Linked DNA regions of Mytilus edulis. The protein of the gene in region 3 binds, or shares a complex with, the protein of the main gene of each other region. Links are inferred from orthologs where the notes say so. Each region holds a gene or a part of one and is shown on either strand. Other genes may lie near its edges.

Region 1 (6,853 bases), on a different chromosome or scaffold from region 3:
TTGTGGATTTATTTTGTTTAACTCAAAACATTTAAACAAATATCAAATTTTGTGTTCTTAAAATCATTTTTTCAAATAAGCCATTTAAGGGGAGATAATTCTTTTAGTAAAAAATACATACTGAACAGATAAGGAAATTTTTCAAGATGATTTACAAGGCTATGGTGTAAACTTCTGTAAAGATTACATGTTATGTATTTCAGAGATCAAAATTAAATAACACAAAACTGTAACTACAAAGGGGGATTGAGTTTGAGTAGATTGTTTTCTGGGAAAAATTTGGTTGATTATATTTGGAATCTCTGAAGCAAGACCAGAGTAGGCCCGTCTCAGGCAGTCACTTATAAAAATTTCTGGATCTGCCACTGAACTACATGCATTCCTAAATACTGAAATAGCAAGAAGGTCTATTATCTAATTACTCTTAGTCTTAGTCTGACTCTAACTCATGAGTTGTGTGCGAGAGAGAAATTTGGAAATTTTTATTCTAATAAAAATGATTAATTACTGAGAAAGGATTTTACTTTCTTGCAAGATTTATTCTACTTCACTGTTTCAAAATTGTTTACCAAAGTTCTGTTATACGTTTTATGATTGAAACATCAGTTGAAATCTTCTCACTTTCATTTACCTGTTAAATTACATACCTGCAATTTTCACTTCAAGATTGGTTGTCACTCAGTAAACACTTAGTTCAGGGATTTCAATCGATTTAAGAGGAAAAATATTGATAACAAGACTTATCAGCACCCAAGTCCGAAGACATTTCGGCACACCAAGACAATCCGGCACCTCGTTTTTAAAAATAAATTTCTTTTGAAAATTTAAAGAATAGTTGCATAGATATTATAATTTGTATATAAAATATGCATTTCAAAAAGAATAATCATCATTTAATTAAACTCTTTAGTCTTAATGATTATGTATGTATCATGAATAAACATCATTTAATTAAGGGACTTTTTGAAATCAAACATATAAAATTTCTTGATCCCCCCCATAATACATAATATTTCACTATTTTCATTTGATCCCCAAGTAAACACATTTGAGAAATTTGACCCCCCCCCCCCCCCTCTATTTACATACGAATATTTAAACATCAAAAACACTTGTAATTTCACGAAAATATTGAAAATGAAAACATATTTGAGGGAAAATTGTCTTGAAATAGGGCTCTTCCATAAGGCCTTTTCCATAAATATGAGTAGGTAGAGCAAGCCAGTGCTATAATATTTCACTATTTTCATTTGATCCCCAAGTAAACACATTTGAGAAATTTGACCCCCCCCCCCCCCCCTCTATTAATTACATACGAATATTTAAACATCAAAAACACTTGTAATTTCACGAAAATATTGAAAATGAAAACATATTTGAGGGAAAATTGTCTTGAAATAGGGCTCTTCCATAAGGCCTTTTCCATAAATATGAGTAGGTAGAGCAAGCCAGTGCTGTAGTTTTTTTCTGACTTTCTCTTTTCTAATTTCCTATAATATTGTGCTATAAAAGAAAACTTGATCCTAAGTAACTCAAAAAATAACTTTTTGAAACAGTAACAACACATTATTTGTTAACCCTTTCCTCTGTGGAATTTATTTTCTTACATACTTGATTTGCATAGGATTTTTTTAATAAAAAAAAAATCATCAGGTTTAAAGTATTAATGCATTGTGAAAATGAATATTTCATCAATGAAATTCAAATCAGATATTCTTATGAATATCCTTTTCATATTGGATGCTAATTTTTTTAAGTCTGATGCAGACATTTTGTAGTCAAAAGCGTTTCAACTGAGGTACTACACAGGCGTTAAAAGGCGTCATTATGGAGCAAAGGGGGTGGCGTCAAAAAGCGTCATTATGGAGGAATATCTAGTATATGAAGGGGGTCTCATTGGGGGTTCTGATCCCGGATCCCGCTTACTGTTTTGTCAGATTCCCGTATCCCGTTTACACTATTGTAAGCAACTATCATTTTTTTGTAATTTCCCGTGTCCCGCTAGACTTCATTTCCTGTTTTCACGGCACAATATTTTGACTTTCACGTGTCACGCTTACAAAAAATCGGCAATCCCGCATCATGAATGACTAAATAACACTGTTATTATCCGAATAACACTTATAATGACCGAATAACACTTGAAATTATAATAGCACATATTTGTGACTTTTAAACATTGATTATTAAATAATAATATATCATCGATATATTTTATAACTTAAAAATGATTTAAAGAAAGCAAAAAGAGTTCATAAAGATCATTTTAAATTTAGTGTGTACATCGTACATGGCGGCCATTGTGATTTCTGTGGCCGCCATCGTTCGATGTACACACTAAATTTAAAAAGTTTTTAATGAACTTATCTGCTTTCTGCAAATCATTTGTAAGTTATAAAATACATCGATAATGTATTATTATTTAATAATCAATGTTTAAAAGTTACAAATATGTGCTAATATTAAAATTTCAAGTGTTATTCGGTCATTACATGTGTTATTCGGATAATGAGTGTTATGCAGTCAGTTGAGGTAAAGCTGAAATTGTGTTGTGTGATACCATATCATTAGCCTATAGTATAAAATGTTTTATGATGCATGTATTTTCATGATTTCGAAAGTAATTTGGGATATTGATGCTTTCCTTGTACTGGGAGATATACAAACACCCTGAATGAATGGTCAAATTATTTGGCACAGTACTGTTGTTCTTGATTTAGTAGTGAACAGAGGTGGCTTACTATACTTAGCCTTAGGCCATCGGTCAACACTTTATAGTGATCAGTTTTTGGAATGACTGTTACAAATTAACTTATGAAGACTTGTGCATACAATGACAAGCATCTACATATTCAGATATGGACACAATAATTATGTTTTAATAATTTCCTCATTTACGTGTGACTGGTTTTTGTTTTTCCTCCGACTTTTTCATTTTTATGTTGCCGGATAATGCCGTGTCTGGTTCCTTATCGATTGGAAACCAGAAACCAGTGGAAAGCGATCTATCTGAATACCGTAAGAAGATCACCGATAACCGATAACCGATAACCGATAACGTCCTTTTAGTGAGTGAATTCTGACAGACTGCGCGAATTTAAATGAAAATGATTTAATTTTAATATTGAATCAATAGATAATTTAAAAGTCACCGTTTTAAAGAAAAAAAATCCCCATATTCTGATAATTTGACACGATGAGTTCAATCTAAGTAACAGGGCACAGCTGAGACTACACTCCCGACTTGTTTCAGAATTTTCCTGCCCACATATATACCGTGTTATATAAAGGTATATATATATTATTTTATTGTTGTTGATACAAGTGCCTGTGTCACATGGACTCGGTTAGCAGATTAAAATTTTTATTATCATTGTTTTTAAAATCTTTTTTTGTCATTTTCCTATCTATTTGTACCAAATTATTATCAAGTTTATCGTTTTTAACCGTGATTGGCATAACTATTTCTTTATTTACTAGCAATGTGCAGTTTCTATCCATATCTGAATTATTATACTGAAAAATATTGACATTACACTGTTTAGAAATGTCGGACGGACCTAGTACTTTTATGGGGTTTTTTCAACAAACATTAATTCGTAAAATTCATTGTATAAACCTCATGATTTCTTTTAGAAATTCAGTTTAAAGTTCAGTGGCAAAATATCCATGCATATTAAAGACAAAAACAAATCAACACTGAAACGATACAAAGTATAGTTCGACATGGGAGAAAGTGCGGGGAAAGTTATACGGGTACTGTAATGGGCAAGATTTAAACTTTTGCCGAAACGAAATAGCACTACATCGATGTTTTTTACCGTGCACACCAGTAAAGTCAGTAAATACTAAGACAAATTTCTCCGCTACAAACAATACACTATATCCAAAACTCAAACATGTTTGTTTCAAATCAAATAAACCATACATTCATTAGTAGTGATCGACCGATATCTTTTATAGACTTCCTTGATATTATAACTGCTTAGGACAACCTTTATGCAAAATTATTGATAAACGAAACCAATTTGAAACTACAAATTCCAATTTAGAGTGCATGTTAAGAATGCATAAAACAACTGATTTTATCTATAAACTGCATTTTTCATTTGAATAAAAGGGATGTTGGGTACGCGTCTATGTGAAAGTAACAACGAAACGAAAAAATCTAACAAAAAGACAAGCTTCGGAAATCCATATATAAACGGTTCAGTAATTACTTTCTAGTGTTCTTTTGACAGTTCGCCCTTCGATGGTCAACAGAGTTTTCAGGTTCTAAAAGACTGCATGTGTCTTTCCCAGAAAGCACATGTAGTATATATAACATTATAGTGCTGGATGCAGTTATACGCGTGTATTGATAACTCATATATAAGTAAAACGTATATATTTTTTTTTAAAACAGTTGCCGTTTCAGTTATAATTTTTACAACAATCGTTCCCATTTTTTTTTGGGAGAAATATAAAATATTTTTAAACAAAACCAAAGAAAACTTGATAATCAGTACGTTTAATGCAACTAATACAGATTTAGAAATAAATAAAGAATAACCAAACTATTCTACGCTATGGGTGACGTCACCATTGATCTCCTTGACCGTTGCTATACACTTGGTCATCACAAAGACGTTAACGTCACATTGTTGAGCCGGTAACGAAGGGAGTTGAAGTGGATGCGGGTGAGGGAGGAGAAAAAAATCAACGTCCGTTTTTCGCGTACCGCTAAGGAATGTCCAGCTCTAAAATTATCGTCGTGGTTGATCCAGTGAAGAATCCAAGGTAAAAAAAATATAAAAAACTTAGTCGATTAATTTCCAGAGAGATTATGAGAGTGAGGGGGAAAGAGAGACAACAGTATGTGCTTCAGTGCAGATATCATTTGTAAATTGGTACATACAGTATTTGTTGAAATACTAATCTATTAAATGAATTTTAACTGGTCGTTAATTCAAATCTATCCAAGCATCCCAAGTTGAGGATATCGCCTATAGCCCCTTTTGTCTGGAATACAATCTGGAACGCTTTTGCTGCAGTGAAAAGCTACTTATGGCAAATTGTGAAATAAATTGTATCAATATCATTAAAAGCATAAATGAGTTTGCTTAGTATTTTGTAATTATGTCATTTACGTTGACAAATACAGTAATCAACAAAAAGGGGTCATATATCATTTTACATGTACTAATAAAAAAGAGGTAAATGTGACAAATATTGTGGCCTTCTTTTATTTTAGGGGTCCCAACTCTTATAGAGCTATACTTAACTATCCTAAACCCCAATCTTACCCTTACCCATACCTAACCATAACACTAGCCCTAACACTAAATACTAACCCTAACCTAAAACAGCCCCTAACCTAACCATTACCATGAATGAACCCTACCTCTAAAGTATAGGGACCCTTAAAGTAAAAGAAAGCCAATATTGTTAATGGAGCAGTAATGAGATGATAAAAGCTATCAATTATATTATTGACAAAAACTATGTAAGTTTCGGCAGTATGCTTATCTAAAGGGTAGAAGGTTTTCATATGGGCACTAATTGCGCCCTCTTAAATGGCGACTTGTTCCTGTATTGTAATGATCCACAGTTTATGGCCACACTTACACAGTGTAGAAAATATTCGTCTGAAACCAATTAATTGGAAATTAAATATAATTACCGTTACCTTGATGATGTTTTTGCTTAAAATAATGAAGAACTGTTTAGTCATACGGCAAAAGAAGTTTACCCTTTAGAACTGATTTTACTCTAATCTACTATATATATATAAAGCAATAACTGACATTCATATTCTAAATTTCAGTTTCACATAAGAAAGTCTAAACAGTCAAAGAATTAAGACAAAAAAATAAGATCCCCCTCAAGTTGTTTCCTTCAGCACTGCCGTGTTTATTTGGGCCTCCTTACGATGTTATCTGATTCTCTTGACAATCATACGTCTCTTCCCTTTTTACACCAATGGAGTATATACGGACACGAAGTTCCCGTTTCAACTGATTTCGTCAGTTCATTTTTTGTTGTACTGTAACACCAGGTAAGGGCAAGGATATTGTGCCAGCGAACCCTAAAAAATGGTGCACTGTTTAAACTTTATACTAGGATGCAACTGGAGATCAAACAATCAATCAATCAATAGTTCTAATGAGTGGTACGCTATGACTGGGATTTGCACCAATAAATATAACTTTACAAATTAAAACCTAGGTAAGAGACAGATTCAGATTCGGTGTTTTAAAAAAACAACATGCATTGTGCCATGATACGATAACAAAAGCATGCACGTTCATTATTTCATGAATTAAACTGACTTTAAATAAATGTCTTTTTTTAGGGGCATTCCTCATTTTGAAGCAAAGAACTATAAGTCGAAGAAAATTGACAGTGTATCCGAATACCAGGCGGTAGGTTTGATTTACTTTATGGTCATATACTAATATACACAGGTTTGTATAGCAATCAGGTGACAATGCACCTCAACGCAACACGGAGTACATTTCTGAAAGCAAATGAAGAAATATAACGAAAACAAAAGCCAACATTGATAAATAAACGTCTTTACATGTAATAAAAGTCAAGTTAATGATACAGACGATATCTTCCACTGTTTTTTTCCTTGAAATTTTAAAACAAAGTCAATATTGATAAAATTATATACTCGCAAAATATGCTAAGTAAATTGTATCTTCATGACTGAATTGAGAGAGATGTCAGTTTATCTTTCAATACATTTCCGAAAAAAATAACTTTTAAACAGAAACAGACGTATACCATTTGAATTTGTGTATTTCATATTTTTTATATAGACCTTTAACGGCTTACTAGTAATACAAAAAATGTTTGTACTATGGAG
Region 2 (7,141 bases), about 34 Mb from region 3:
CAAATATACATGTACAACAAACATATAAACCATACAAGCATTGAAATGTAATAAAATACATATTTAAATATACATATGAAAATTCATCTTGCATACATTTTTTCAATTAACCATCTCATTTTTCTCTCATATACTCATGTCACTCCATTCATTTATTCCACTGCATACACATTTCACCAAATATTCAACATCTATATTCACACTCACTCTAATTCATGAACTCAATAAAGTTAGTGTAATATCAAATGAATGGTCTGGTAACGTAACGTCAAGTGGTTGTGGGGATGCTGGTGCTGGTGGTGCTTCTATTATTTACTGCTGGAACCTGAACGAAAAACATATGTATAAAAGTAGTGAAACAACTAAAAGACGTCAAATATATATATAATTCAAAATAAATAAATTCACATTAATATTTGTAACATTGTTTGATAATTGGCAATCACGTAAACTAATTAAAGGATTAACACCTCCGAAATTTGTATACTTTGCATTAAACAGAGGGCACGCGCCCCAACAATGATTGGATTAATATGATTTATGATGTTTTTTTTTCAATAGGTAATCAAATTCAAATTCAAATTCTTTATTAACTTTGAGCCTTATGGCTCCTCAGAATAATCAAGTACATGTACAGTGTTTACATTTGGCATATTACAAACAATATGCATAATAAACAATAGGTGACATCATTCCGTCTCTGATGGAGAGTTGTCTCATCATCGGATTCATACCGCAATCATACCACATCTTCTTTTTTTATATAATTTAATTAATATCCTTTTTGGTCCATTTATTGGACAAATTTAAAATTTAATGCAAATATCATTTAATATTGAATTAAGTCTTTTCAGGGAAGGGTTAAAACCAAAATTAAAGTAAAAAAAATATCTAAAATATGACCGAAAGTACGAACTATGATTCAAATGAAACACTACATAACTAATAAATTTGTAAATACCTGTATTGCAAAGCTGTGTTACTTTTATAAATCAAGGCCGGTACATCAAATAGACTCCAAACAGCTTCTATCAGCTACAAGAATTTCACTACCCAATGTATGTTTGTACTCCGCTTGAACTCAGCTTGGGTGCTGTGTTTTAATAGTGATCTCGATTTGTATTTCCTTCTGAATTTCTTGACAAAAGCATAATTAATACTTGTGTTCATCAAAGAAGTAATACTAAGCAATTGGCAATCTTCTTAAATTTAAAACTTAATCATTACTTGATTACCTTGTTTTATATTTCAAAACTAATCAACTAAACGTAAGCATCTTATTATATGCAGACGATATCGTCTTACTAGGTCCAAGTGAGGCTAGTTTACAATGTATGCTTGATTGTGTTAATGCATGGTGCCATAAATGGAGATTAAGTAATAATTGTAGTAAATCAAATGTCATACATTTTAGGCCTAGCTCTGTTGAACGTTCTACTTTCAATTTTTTCTGTGGAAGTCATAGTTTAGTGTATGTAGATTCATACAAATATTTAGGTATTTGGTTCAGTGAACATGTAACATGGATTAAAGCCGTCAAAGAACTCTCTAAATCTGCCAGCCGAGCTTTGAGCTGTTTGACTGTGAAATTTTACGCCTATGGTGGTATGACATATCAAGTGTTCACAAAACTGTATAAAAGTTTGGTACAACCAATATTGTTATATGGTGCATCGATATGGGGACTTACTGAACATAGACTTATTAATAACGTTCAAAACAGAGTAAGTAAAATATTCCTTGGAGTGACTAAATTGACTAGCAATACTACAGTACAGGGTGATTTAGGATGGCTGTCATGTCATGCTAAACAAAGACTGGAAGTTTTGAGATTCTTTTATAAACTTGAAAATTCAGATAATTCTCGTACTTTCTATAAGATACATTTATGGTCGAAACGAAAACGTAGATCCTGGAACTTTAATGTGATTAACTTATTTCGCAATATGTCTGTAGAACACTTAATGCAGCCCGGAATTAGCAAAGAACTATTTTTTAAAGTAATTAAAAGTAAATTACGAATACTAGATGAACAGTTGGGGTTTACCAAACTTTGGAATGACAATTCGAATGTGAATGGAAACAAGTTGAGACTATATAGACGTTATAAGAAAGACCTTCAACCTGAACACTATGTTACTAACGCAATGCCACGCCACTTACGAAGTAATCTATGTAAACTTAGATGTGGAACTTTACCTCTGTCCGTCGAGACGGGCCGTTATACGAAACCACCAATACCGTTAGAAGAAAAAAATTGTCCATTTTGTAACAATGCTGTAGAAGATGAGATACACTTTTGGATTATTTGTGACATTTACAGTGACTTAAGGTTTAATTTGTTTCACAGAGCAGCTATGGTCATGGATAATTCTTTTTGTACAAAGTCAGATTTTAATCAATTTGTATTTTTAATTCAGAATGCTGAATTACAATACGAGTTATCTATCTTGGTGCATAATATGATAAGAAGACGTCGTGCATTGAAAAGCAATCTACACTCTTAATTGTATTTCCGTAAAAGTCAAAGTTAATATATTTAATTTATTTATTTTTTTAATTCACTATTGTATATTTCCGTTAAAGTCAAAGTTACATTTAATTTTTTAAATTTTGTTTTTTTGTTTTTGTTCTATTTATTTACTATTTTACTGAGAGTTTTTTTTTATTAAAACAACAAGATAACTTCATTTTATTCTTCGCAATCTGTTTATATAACCTCTTTAAAATATATTCTTTTTATCACATACCATTTATTTTTTTACGTCATACTTATTTTTGTCATTTCTATTTTTAAAAGATATGGTTTTTTTTTGGTTTTTTTTTTAATTACTTATTTTAATTTTTTTGTTTTTTTATGATGTGAAATATCCGGATAATTTTAAACATTTTATTATGTTTTTTCAATTTGTATTTGTTAAATAGATATATATTTGTATATATAGTGTCTCATAAGCCTTTCTAGGCTGGGTATTTGTCTTATTTTATTATTGTGCAATGTATATTATATAATCTGTATAAAAAATCTGTAGACAAGTATGTGACACTTTAATAAAATAAATTATTATTATTATTATTTATTTACTAATCTTATAGTTATAATTTTGACAGAAATTAGTCTCCCATTCAGATACAGTCATTCATATTTGTTCATTTTGTTCTGTTTGTTATACGGAAGATATAAAAAAATCATTTAGAAAACAATATGATATTTTAATATTTTATTAGATTAAACACAATTCTGTATAAGGGAGCTACCATTTGATTTTTATGGGGGGGCTAGGATGAAATTTGAAAAAAATAGGCAGGACAGCAGTTTTGAGTAAAAAAAAAGGCAGGATGAGACACTTTGCCAAAAAAAAAGGCAGGATGACAATGTAGGTAAAAAAAAGTCAGGATAAACTAATAAAAAAAAAGGCAGGACCGAATAGAGTGAAAAATAAAAAGGCAGGACAGAGATTACAACTAAAAAAAAATGCAGGACAAAATTTTTCATCCTAGCCCCCCCCCCCCCCCCCCCCCCATAAAAATCAAATGGTAGCTCCCTAATGCATAAACAAATGATATAACGAAATTTTAAAAACATGATAAATAATGTTAAAACAGTATAGGTTATTAAAAAAAGTTATAATAACCATCTATAAGTACCAAAATAATTCATATATAACATCTAAAAAAAAACCAAAAAAAAAAACCATGGACGATACGATGAATCATACGATACGTTTCATCCTATGGACGTCATGGCAGTATGGCCGTTACGTCCTGCATCGGATATGAAGCATATCAGTATCGTTTGTTTTATATTTGAAACATTTAATGTTGATAAAGTGTGGTTCTTTACCTTTAATAAAATTCTAATTTCAAGGAAATCCATTGAATACTTAAACAGTAATTGAAGTTTGAATAAGTCCGATCAAAGGTTTTTAGGTCTTTTCATTTCTCCGTTCAGGTCCAAGTTTTGGCATGAAAAATCTGTTTTTTATTTAAAAGATTATAAAATGTAGATCTTTTCATTTGATAAAATTTAAACTTGAAGAAAATCCATTCAAAAATAACGAAGTAAGTGTATAATTTTTGAACAAATCATGTGCCATGATGTGGTATATCTTTCAGGTCTATTCGGGTCTTTTCAGGTCCACTTTCAGGTCTTTAGTGTGTCCCATTAAAAATGGCTACCTTTGAAAGATGCTATTTGTGGTTTTCTTTTCTCACTCTTTTAAGTTGTGAGAGCATAACGTTTAGAGAAAATGACACATTTAAAGAAGAGCTCATTGTCAAACCATTTAAAAGTGGCCACGAATTATTTTTTTTCCAGTTTACAACACTCTGGAACTCGAGAAAGCCATGTGAGTATATATCCGTGTTAAATGCGATACCTCAAAAATTATTCTCGATAACTATATAGTATAATAGTCCAGCTCGAATGACCCAATAGCATAGTTATTATCCGAAAAACACTTGTAATGACTGAATAACACTAGAAATTTTAATATTAGCACATATTGGTGACTTTTAAACATTAATTATTAAATAATATTATAAATATAAGCAATGCCAATGATAAGTGTATTTGAATAATACTGGTATAAGGTTCGTTCGCGCCCAATACACTTTCGCACCCTACACGTTCGCACTCAAGGTCCGTTCGCACCAAATTTTAAATAAAATTCCAGTTAAATAATTAGAAAATCAAGATTGTTGTTTTTAATTGATTTGATGTAAATACTGCATATTAAGCTTGGTATGAGTAAAAACATTGAAGATTTTAAATGAAAAACACAAAAGATTTTTATTAAAAACAGCTTATAGGCCCGTTTGATCTGAAACAATGAAACCAAAAATCATAGCAATGCACTTGTAACCGGAGAGTATGAATTTCATTACAAAATTGCTCGTCTCCATCGGTACCTCTGTGTTACAAGCCAGCGCGCTAACCGACTGAGCTAAAGAAGTACTTCCTTAGCTCAACTGCTTACGGCTGACTAAGTATCTACTAAGTTTTTCTAAGGGAAGCAATCCCGTCACACTTCCCCCACCTCAAGAGTCATTATACTCTATAATGATGATATCTTCATCTTTTTTTATATTTATATTTTAACCTGGCTAGGTAATTCTTCTAACCATGGGTTATTATTGTTGGGCGCCAATGTAACCGGAGAGCATGAATTTCATTACAAAATTGCTTGTCTCCACCGGGACTCAGGGTTGGCAAAAACCCGGGTTTAATTAGTATTGCCCAGCCCAGTGGGAAATACTGGGAAAACCCGGGTTTTACTGGGTTTTAGTGGGTAATACTGGGCAATACTGGGTAATATAAAATATGTGTCTGAATTTTAAAGAGGATTCAGTAATAAACACAAATGCAATTCATTTAATAAGATATTTATACCCTATTTTGTTTGTATAGCATTTGTCTAGATCTGCAAACTGTAAATAGAAAGCAAATAAATCTTTTTTTTTTTCAAATGAATATAGCTCCTACTAAGAATTAACAATTACATGTAATAAAGAAACATCACATTTAAATAATGTACAAATGTATATGTACTGTCACTAATTAATAAGTAATTATTCAGATTAGAACACAGATTTGTTTATGTAACAATAATCAGTCCTTTCAATATTTTAAGTGTTAATGGCATGACCCTGTAGGGTGTTTATTTAGCAATATGAATGTATAACAATTAAAATTAACTATTCACTTAAACACTGCAATAAAATGCATTTTTCAAAGTTTGGATTATTGAAACAACTACTTGGTAATTAAAAGGTATCTTTAAATGTGCAAATCTTGTATTCTGCCTACATATAAAATTAACAGAGAAGAGAATGAAATTGAATTTTCTAGAAATGACTGTCAATCGGCCTAGCCAAGATCAGATGTGCATTTCATATTGGGTCTATGTTATAGGCTTGTAAAGACAAGAAGATAAACTTTACATAAGTAATACATCTTTAAACTGAAGAAGAGAATGTAGGGCTTCACAATGAATATCAAATATCATGTATAGGTGTTACCGTTTTGAAAAAAACCCACTAAAATACACGCTGAAAATGGGCAAAATTTCACGTTATGTTGTTTCATTCAAAATTTCGCTGTTTTTATCAATTGATAGTTAATAAGTGAACTTAATTTAAACTACATTATTGGATCATTGCTATAGACAATTTATTCATCTTTCTTTTACTGTTTGTTGCAACAAAAAATCTTCAGTGGTTACAAAGTTATGATAAAAAGTTGAATACTATGCGCTCGTTATGAAATTTTGTACTTTTGTTTTTAGCTTGCTCAGTGTAGTGATAAAAGAGAAAAATAAATCAAATTTATGCTATTATGTGTTTTGTTTTCTCTTCTAGTATATACATTATCAAAAACTACCTCATTTATCAAAATTGCAGTACCCTAGCTGGAGATATATGCCATCAAAGTTGGATATATACAAATAAAGTGAAAAAATGTCTTGTCCGTAGACATGCATTCCCTAGTAAACTTGAAGCATAATTACATTAATGTTGCATTGCTATGTTCCTGTTCTTTTGTAGATATGAAAACACTACTAACATGTTCTCAATTTTTGTAAAATTACTTTACAGGAGTGAATTTTAAAAAGGGTCAGATTATCAGTCATAAAAAGCATATCTTATTTTACTTCAATATTGTTTATTCCAGTTGCTGCATACCTTAAAAGATTAACTAAATCAAATGAAGAAAAAGTATTTCTCTCTCTCTAACTTTATCTTTTGCATTTCAGTATTAACAGCAGATGAGGAAGTGTCTACGGACAAGACACTTGTACATAACAAGTATTAAATTCCATTATTTGTCTGCTATGGAACTTAAATCTTATTTATAGGTTATGAAAGTCATCTATTCAAATTAAAACTCAGTATTTTCAACATAAATATAGTCACAATTAATTCTAACAGATTTTTTTTTTAACTGAAATTGTCTTGTCCGTAGACATTACCACAATATATTTGTATCCAATTTCCTTGAGTTCAGCCTAATTTGATAGGTAAAATGTATGTTATTTTTTCAAGAGAACACATTCAACTATGTCAAAATTGAGTTTTAATGATAGTTTGATTGTTTTAAACAGTCAGATATATGGATTTCAGTTAAAAGAATGTGACTTCA
Region 3 (7,394 bases):
TTTGAAAATTTAATACTTTGAACACATTTAATAGCTCCATAGTTTTTACACATTTATTCTATGTTCCTCTACTTTCCTTCTCACCACAAACATTTTGACAAATGGTTAAGCTCAGTCATTTGTAAAAAAAAATAGAAACATGTCCAACATGTCCAATATCACTTCACAGAGATTTTTTGTTTACACATGACTTTTGAGTTCCTCATTTCGAGGTGCATTAGGGATGTTGTCCCAGATGAAGATACAAAAATCACAATAATAAATGCATGTAGTCAATTCTGAATTTGCAGTTTCAGTTGTAAAGATACATACCTGGCAATAAAGCATTTTCAGAAAAGTATGTACGAGCGTTGAGTGGTTGGTATGCTAACGCCAGAAACCATGTGACCCCAGCAATGTAACACAGAACAGATAAATGGTTATTATACTTAGAAATCACATCTAGTATTTTCTGCCTTTTCTTTGGATCTGACAGGAGTCCCATGTTCCTGCAAAAAACATTTTTTGAGAAAACTCTTGCATTGTTCATCTTTGAGAAGCTAATTTCAGGTAGCATTACATTCTAGCAATGTAACACCACATTATCATGATGTTAAAAGCCCCTGGGGAAATTAAGGCCCACTATCATCTCAGAAAGCTTCAACAAGATGGTGGTATAAAAACAATACTGGCACCAACAAGCAAAGAGACAGCACATAGATCCTTGTCTCATGAGTTTTCCATTGAAAAAGCATGCACACACAAGTGTAGTGGTTGAAGTTCTAACTATTATATTGTACTTCTGGTCGTGACACTTTCTTTGGTCCTGAGCCCGGTCGGGTCTTTCAGTGGGTACTCTAACAGCTGTGCGTAGTCCCGAGATAGCCCAGATTTAATTCGTCATACTGACGGCTGCTAGAAAACCCTTGGGAAACAATAATATTTATGGTAAGAACGTCTACCACTGAATTGTATTTAAAGTGTATGGACAATATTGATGTAATCAATTATAGTTTAAGGTTCATCATAACAAATGGACAAATATGGCCGTATTTTCACCCCAAAAACTACTCTGTGTACAGACTTACTTGTGCTGTTTGGAAAGTTCTAATGCCTATCATCCACTAGATATATAAAAGTTAAATGCATTTTGTGTTTAACATTGTTTAAGAAAGATAAAATCTTTCATAGTTTTTGATGTGCGGTGTAAAAATAAACAAACACCTGAATTACTTTGATGCTGTCCACTCACTGACTCAAATAAACTCTTTATTACCAATGTCATTTCAACTGATCGGGCGGAGCTTACGTTTTAATTTGCATAAGGACAGTCTATTTGAAGATGTGTGTGATTAGGATGATTGCCGTTATAATTATTACTGATTTCTAATCACCTATCAGTGCCATCAAAGGAATTAACAAAAGAATAACTGGACACTTCATTGATGAGTTTATCCTGAAACACCTATCTATAGATGAAATGATTTATTATGAGCGAAACGGTTAAACTCCGCCCAGTCAAGTGAAATAAATTGAGTAATAACTCACCTACACTTGTGAAGATAAATCTTGTCCATGTCAATTAAGGACAATCAAAACAATACAAACCGGTTTTTTACCTGAGGGAGCATCTCATAGTTGTACATTGTACCACAACTTAGTTAATTTTCACACCTTTTGCATGAAGGAAAAAAAATGCCCATCAAAATCCAAAAGAGATTTTATCTTTCTGAAACACAAAATGCATGTAACTTTATTATATCTAGTGGATGCCAGGCATTAAAACTTTTCCAACTTCACAGGTAAGTCTGTACTCAGAGTAATTTTTGACATGTAAATACAGCCATATTTGTCCGTTTGTTATGATGAACCTTAAATCATCAGACCTTCTAAAGAATAAATTATTGAATGACTAATACATGTAATATCTCAGAACGGACAGAAAGTCACAGGACAAAAAGTCACAAGACATAAAGTCACAAATTTGATAGGACAAAAAGTCACAAATAACTTCTTGACAATTGATTGAATATACGAGAGAAAGATCTTGAAATATTTTCTTTTTGTAACATATATTTATTTCTAAGTTTAGGCAATTGTTCATAAACCTTGATAAATGAAAATTTATTAAAATTAATCATACAAAGGACATATTTCTTGGCAGAATGAAGCCATTTAGGTAGTTAGCCACTGTGACATTTTGTTTTCATAACAATTATGATCATGATAAATTATTTATTGAACACATTTTGAATTACAAAGTTGCTTCATATATAAAATAGTTCAAGAAAAAAACAAAAAAATATTTTAAAAAATTAGTGTAGCCTTGTTCAAAGAAAAATAATCTCAAAACTGAATTGTGACTTTTTGTCCTGTGACTTTTTGTCCGTGACTTTTTGTCTGTGACTTTTTGTCCTGTGACTTTCTGTCTTACATTCATAGTTTTATATGCCAACTAAACATCACTTTCACTCCCGTTAGTCGTTACACAAGCACTTGTTTCTATCCATGGGAAGACCCACTATCAACTTATCGTAAATATATACGTTGATAGTGGGTCTTCCCATGGATAGAAACAAGTGTCTGTGCATGCACAGTACGAATTTGTATGAAGTACGAAAACTTATGATCTGACCATACACAGGTGACTTCAGCTGGACCCTAAACAAAAATGTGTACTAGTTGAAAATCAGAAAAGGTGAAAAATATAAATTGGTGGTGAAATTATCAAACAAATGCCAAAATTACTTTGAATCGGTGGTGATTTGACCAAGTGTCGATTAGTCTTTTTGATATAGGTGCCGAAATAACCAGATCCTGTGCCGATTTGACTCGAACCCCTGGGACACTAACTACGCCAGGGTTCAGGTTTTTATTTTAAAATGTGTATCCTGTTCTATTGTAAGAATGACGATAAAATAACAGTGTAAGAGCTGCCCTTTGAAAGAAATTAACAGTTTCACTGAGTACCTATTGATTTTGTGTGTTAGTTTTAGCCGGGTTCTCTTTTTTTCAGGTAAAAACAATCAAATGATCCAGATTTCGATTTAGATTCATTTACCACAAGTTTTGCAGACCATTAAAAAGATATTAAAAAAAAAAAAAATTACTTGTATTTTTGAAATTTAAATAGAAAATAAAAATATTCTACTTCAACCAAAAGTATTTTAATATATTCAAAAATGTCAACTTCCGTTTCGAGGGTCTTTAGACTAAGGTATAGAAAAGATGGCAGCGGTTGCTGGCAGGCTCTCGCGACAAGCTCTTTTAAAGACAAAATCATTGACAAATACACAACAGGTATTGAAATCACTTTGCAGTCGTAACCATTATATTCATATCTGTAACTTGTGACAATTATTTTCTTGTTTGAGCTTCAATTAAGGAGAAAACAGCAAATGTTTTTCAAGGTGAACTGATTGACAAGTTGTGTAACCCAAGTTGTGTAACATAAAATGTTACTTAATAAATTTTTTGGAAGTCTCAGAGAACAGTAATCATATATTTGATATAACAAGAAGTTTTCCTAACTAGATTTTAGCTTCAACAAGTAATAGGCTATTGGGAATGCTCCAAACCTCACACAAAAGGCTGTATTGTCATTCAGTCTGTTTAGGGTTCATCAAATTATACACCTTATCGCTATTTTGAAATCTGTCCCACTTGTAATTTTGAGGTCATACATCAACTGATCAATCACTTTACCATTGTGGCGTCAACTATATTCTATTATGACGTCAACATTTTATTGGAACTTTTGTGATGTCCTTCTTCTTCAATCTTTGTCGTGATGACAGAGTAATATAATCTCTCTTGTGAATTATCCTCTCTTGTAAAATTCTTAACACTAATGTAGTTTCTCCTTTGTACTTAGATATTGTAGGTGGCGCTTTAAAAATATTATAGAATTATATAAAAGTGAAAAAAAAGAAAAAAATGGTTAATTAGGTTATTGAAATGGCATGAAATATTAAAAAATATTAAAAATTAAAAGAAATTTGTATTAAATTATCCACTAAAACGGTTTGTTTCCTCTATGTACTCCGCTAATAGTTGATTGATACTTTCTGCATTTGGCAAATTGATTGTTAATAAATTGTCTAAATCTGTTGGAATTTGTCCTGTTATGAAGTATATTTGATGGAATAGTTTGTCTCTGGCATCTGAATACAGGTCACATTCAAAAAGGTAGTGTTGTACATTTTCTTTTTGTTTGCAGTGATCACAGGTTTCCGAGTTGATGTGCTGGTTTATTATAAATTGGTATGCATTTAATTTAGAATAACCTGTTCTTAAACTGTTGATTATGTTGTACATTCTTTTTGACGGGAAATCTTTTTTTACTTTATTTTTAACTTAAGGATGAAATCTGAAATAATGACGTCCAGCATTACTGTTTTCCCATCTGTGTTGCCATTTTTTTGTAACTGAATTTCTAGCTGCTTTTTTTACATCTTGTTTTGTAAATACTATGTCATCAACTGCTAGTGTTTCTGCTTCTTTAGCAGCTTCTTTTGCCAGGGAGTCCAGTAATGGCAGACAAATACTTGAAATAGTGATAAGGTGTATACACTTGGATTACAAACATCATTTCTGGAATCATGTCTTTCACCTAAAAAGATCTTCAATTTTCGCAGGCCTTTATTAACAGATTGAAGGGGCGTCTGTATTCCTGCTCTATTAAAAGTTTCCAGCACTTTCAAAATCTTCAATCTGTGTGGTAGTAAGGAAATAATCTCTGTTTTGTGAGAACGTAATCTTGATTCCTGTACGACCGAGGGAGCGTGACCATCTTATTAGATTTTAATTTCCCAAATATTTTGTGCAGTATAAAATCAAACTTTTTCACCTGTTTGCTGAACATATGTTGGAAATGAAGATGCATACATTTTTGTCCGGTGGTGATGAAAGTCACATGACAGATTTGTCTGAAAACCGTATCCCCGAACTGGCCTATTGGCTGTGTTCACATACACAATGAAATTTTCATTGCCAAGAAGATGGTAAAATAAACAAACACAAGAGTTTAATTAAAACAGTCCACTCATTTACACTTTTCAAATCACCTTTGTTGTGTTGATTTCTAGTGTCCCTCTTTAATCCATATCAATCAATATGTTACAATATAATCATTACCTGAAGGGGACTATCTCAAAGATTTTTTGTACCTGTAGGAAATGTCGTTTTGTTGATTTTCTTACATTTATTCGGGACATTTTGCTTTGATTGTTATTTGCTTAATATCTGGTGGCAAATATTCCATGCGCGTAAGCGAGATTAATTATATCCCACACAACAAAGTTCTGGAGGGTATAATGTTTGTGATCCGTCCATTAGTCTTGTTTTTTGTCATTGCAACTCCTCTTAAGGTGGCTCGGGACTATTCGACTGCGCATAATTTCACGCATGAATTACAAATGTATTTGTCGTTAATTTGATATAATTTTTTTAAATATTTTGATTGATTAGAAATGTTAAATCATTGTAGTCATGTGAATAATAGAATATTTTCGTTATAATCCGTATTTGTTAAAGGGTCAAAATGACATTTCACCCATTTTCACCATTTTCCCGCCAAAATTTGGGTTTTAAGGCAAAATATATTTTTTTCCTTATCGGTGACCTATCTTTTTTATTTGCTCATTCTTTTAAGCTATATTTTAGCTTTTTATATTACAGTTTTGGACCATGTGTCATAGAACGTTTTTTTAATAATCCGATAAAAATATGTCAACACCTCTATTTTCCCTATCATTTCATTGAAAAATGGTCCCTTTTACATACCTGTTTAAAAGTTAAATTTTGAGCTTAAATGGTCCGTGACCCCCTATTTTTTTTCTACCAATTTGATTCAATTTCTGTAAAGAATAAAATAACAAAAAATACGATACTTTTAATAGGCCCCGAGCCACCTTAAACCACACAACAGAATTTCACGAAACCTTTTTTAGATAATAAGGACATAATATGTAGATGTGCATATCGACAGGAAATTACGATTGAATAATTTTTTTCTAGGAGTTACGCGCCTTTGAACTTATTTGCTTTAATGTACTACTGCAACAGTTTGTCATCGCAACTCCTGAAACCACACAACAGAATTTCATGAAACTTTGTAGATAATAAGGACATACTATGTAGATGTGCTTTGTAGATAATAAAGACATAGACTAAGTAGATGTGCATATTGACAGGAAATTATGATTAAATTTTTTTTCTTATTCAACTTTCTTTTCTTACACTTATTTAATTTCTTCAATGACAATGTGGGGACGTGGGGTATGTGAGTGCGCTTATTAAGGTTCTTTTATTGCAAATGTTGTATACTTGTGTAAAGATATATATACAAATTCAATTTTGTATTAATTATTGTCAATATTCATTTAGTACCTTATACCTTATGTACCTATATGTATACAATAACTATTATAATAAAATGTTCCTTTTTTCTCAGGCAAGCTTCAGTTTCAAATCAGCATCAAGAGGGAAGAAAGCTGTAAGTTATATTAACTGTATTCCATATTACATTTTTATGCCCCATCTACAATTTATTAGTCTGTCTGTCCCACTTCAGGTTTAAGTTTTTGGTCAAGGTAGTTTTTGATGAAGTTGAAGTCCAATCAACATGAAACTTAGTACACATGTTCCCTCTGCTATGATCTTTCTAATTTAAATGCCAAATTAGATTTTTGACCCCAATTTCACAGTTCACTGAACATAGAAAATCATAGTGTGAGTGGGGCATCCGTGTAGTATGGACACATTCTTGAAATTATTTATTTGAGTGGTAAAATTGGTTCTATAAACTCACACTTAATGTCAACACTATATTTCAACAATAACAACTGGCAATGTTAATACTTTTTGACACAAATTTTAAAAGTTCAATAAACAAAGGTAGGAATGAAATATATAGAGACACGCATGATAAATGAGCAATATTGTGACAAACAACTTTAAATTTTTTATTTTGAAAACTGATTGTTTCTGAACCTGTACTGTACAGTACGGGATATTATTGTATTGATGTCTTTTTTCACAGGCTTATGGATTACTTGGAGCAGCTACTGTTGGTAGTATAGGAGCAGTGGGAGCAGCCTTGGCCTTCCCTGTATTAGCCAGTGAATTAGAGTTACATCCCCCCCATTATAAATGGAGTCATCATGGAATGTTCAGTTCTATTGACATGAAAAGGTATGGCTAAAAAATGTTTTTTTCTTATATATTTGTGAGACTTTTTTACAAAATACTCAAACAGTTGCCTGAGTTGGCTTCTTGAACAACACATAAGAGTTATTGATGTTAAATGATGATTGTTTAAAAAATATGGATGTTTTTGTTTTGCCTGAGATGGAAACTTATCCTTTTCCAACTGCTTATGTTTTTTATATGACTTCATATTTCACAATATATAG

The links.
Region 1: glycosylphosphatidylinositol anchor attachment 1 protein-like (region 3) and GPI transamidase component PIG-S-like share a complex: the UniProt entries of both Homo sapiens proteins name them as parts of the GPI-anchor transamidase complex. The link is inferred for Mytilus edulis from reciprocal best matches to the Homo sapiens genes GPAA1 and PIGS.
Region 2: the proteins of glycosylphosphatidylinositol anchor attachment 1 protein-like (region 3) and GPI transamidase component PIG-T-like are in contact, whole or in part, in a cryo-EM structure (PDB 7W72), measured with the Homo sapiens proteins. The link is inferred for Mytilus edulis from reciprocal best matches to the Homo sapiens genes GPAA1 and PIGT. Residues at the interface, in NP_003792.1 of Homo sapiens: Arg97, Ser98, Val99, Gly100, Glu102, Tyr104, Arg134, Ala135, Pro136, Arg137, Ala138, Ala139, Ser140, Thr141, Glu142, Arg171, Gly172, Gln173, Ile174, Tyr199, His200, Asp201, Val202, Leu212, Gln213, Gly214, Arg215, Ala218, Arg311, Tyr312; in NP_057021.2 of Homo sapiens: Gln91, Gly92, Phe93, Arg95, Arg97, Tyr98, Ser108, Phe211, His212, Thr213, Ser214, Asp247, Phe249, Ile250, Arg340, Gln355, Tyr357, Val358, Ser359, Gly360, Tyr361, Gly362, Leu363, Leu371, Tyr373, Lys441, Asp459, Pro460, Asn461, His462.

What each region holds. Positions count from the first base shown.
Region 1 is NC_092347.1:87,617,992-87,624,844, forward strand, and holds the start of GPI transamidase component PIG-S-like, read right to left. Parts: upstream 3,003-6,853; 5' UTR 2,936-3,002; coding exon 2,899-2,935; intron 1-2,898. Other genes in the region: stabilizer of axonemal microtubules 2-like, read left to right, coding at 4,730-4,779, 6,335-6,404. UniProt on the Homo sapiens protein: Component of the glycosylphosphatidylinositol-anchor (GPI-anchor) transamidase (GPI-T) complex that catalyzes the formation of the linkage between a proprotein and a GPI-anchor and participates in GPI anchored protein biosynthesis.
Region 2 is NC_092348.1:51,714,897-51,722,037, reverse strand, and holds the start of GPI transamidase component PIG-T-like, read left to right. Parts: upstream 1-4,139; 5' UTR 4,140-4,171; coding exon 4,172-4,349; intron 4,350-7,141. UniProt on the Homo sapiens protein: Component of the glycosylphosphatidylinositol-anchor (GPI-anchor) transamidase (GPI-T) complex that catalyzes the formation of the linkage between a proprotein and a GPI-anchor and participates in GPI anchored protein biosynthesis.
Region 3 is NC_092348.1:85,384,345-85,391,738, reverse strand, and holds the start of glycosylphosphatidylinositol anchor attachment 1 protein-like, read right to left. Parts: upstream 3,028-7,394; 5' UTR 2,950-3,027; intron 489-2,949; 5' UTR 485-488; coding exon 313-484; intron 1-312. Other genes in the region: cytochrome c1, heme protein, mitochondrial-like, read left to right, coding at 3,208-3,279, 6,434-6,475, 7,022-7,173. UniProt on the Homo sapiens protein: Component of the glycosylphosphatidylinositol-anchor (GPI-anchor) transamidase (GPI-T) complex that catalyzes the formation of the linkage between a proprotein and a GPI-anchor and participates in GPI anchored protein biosynthesis. Binds GPI-anchor.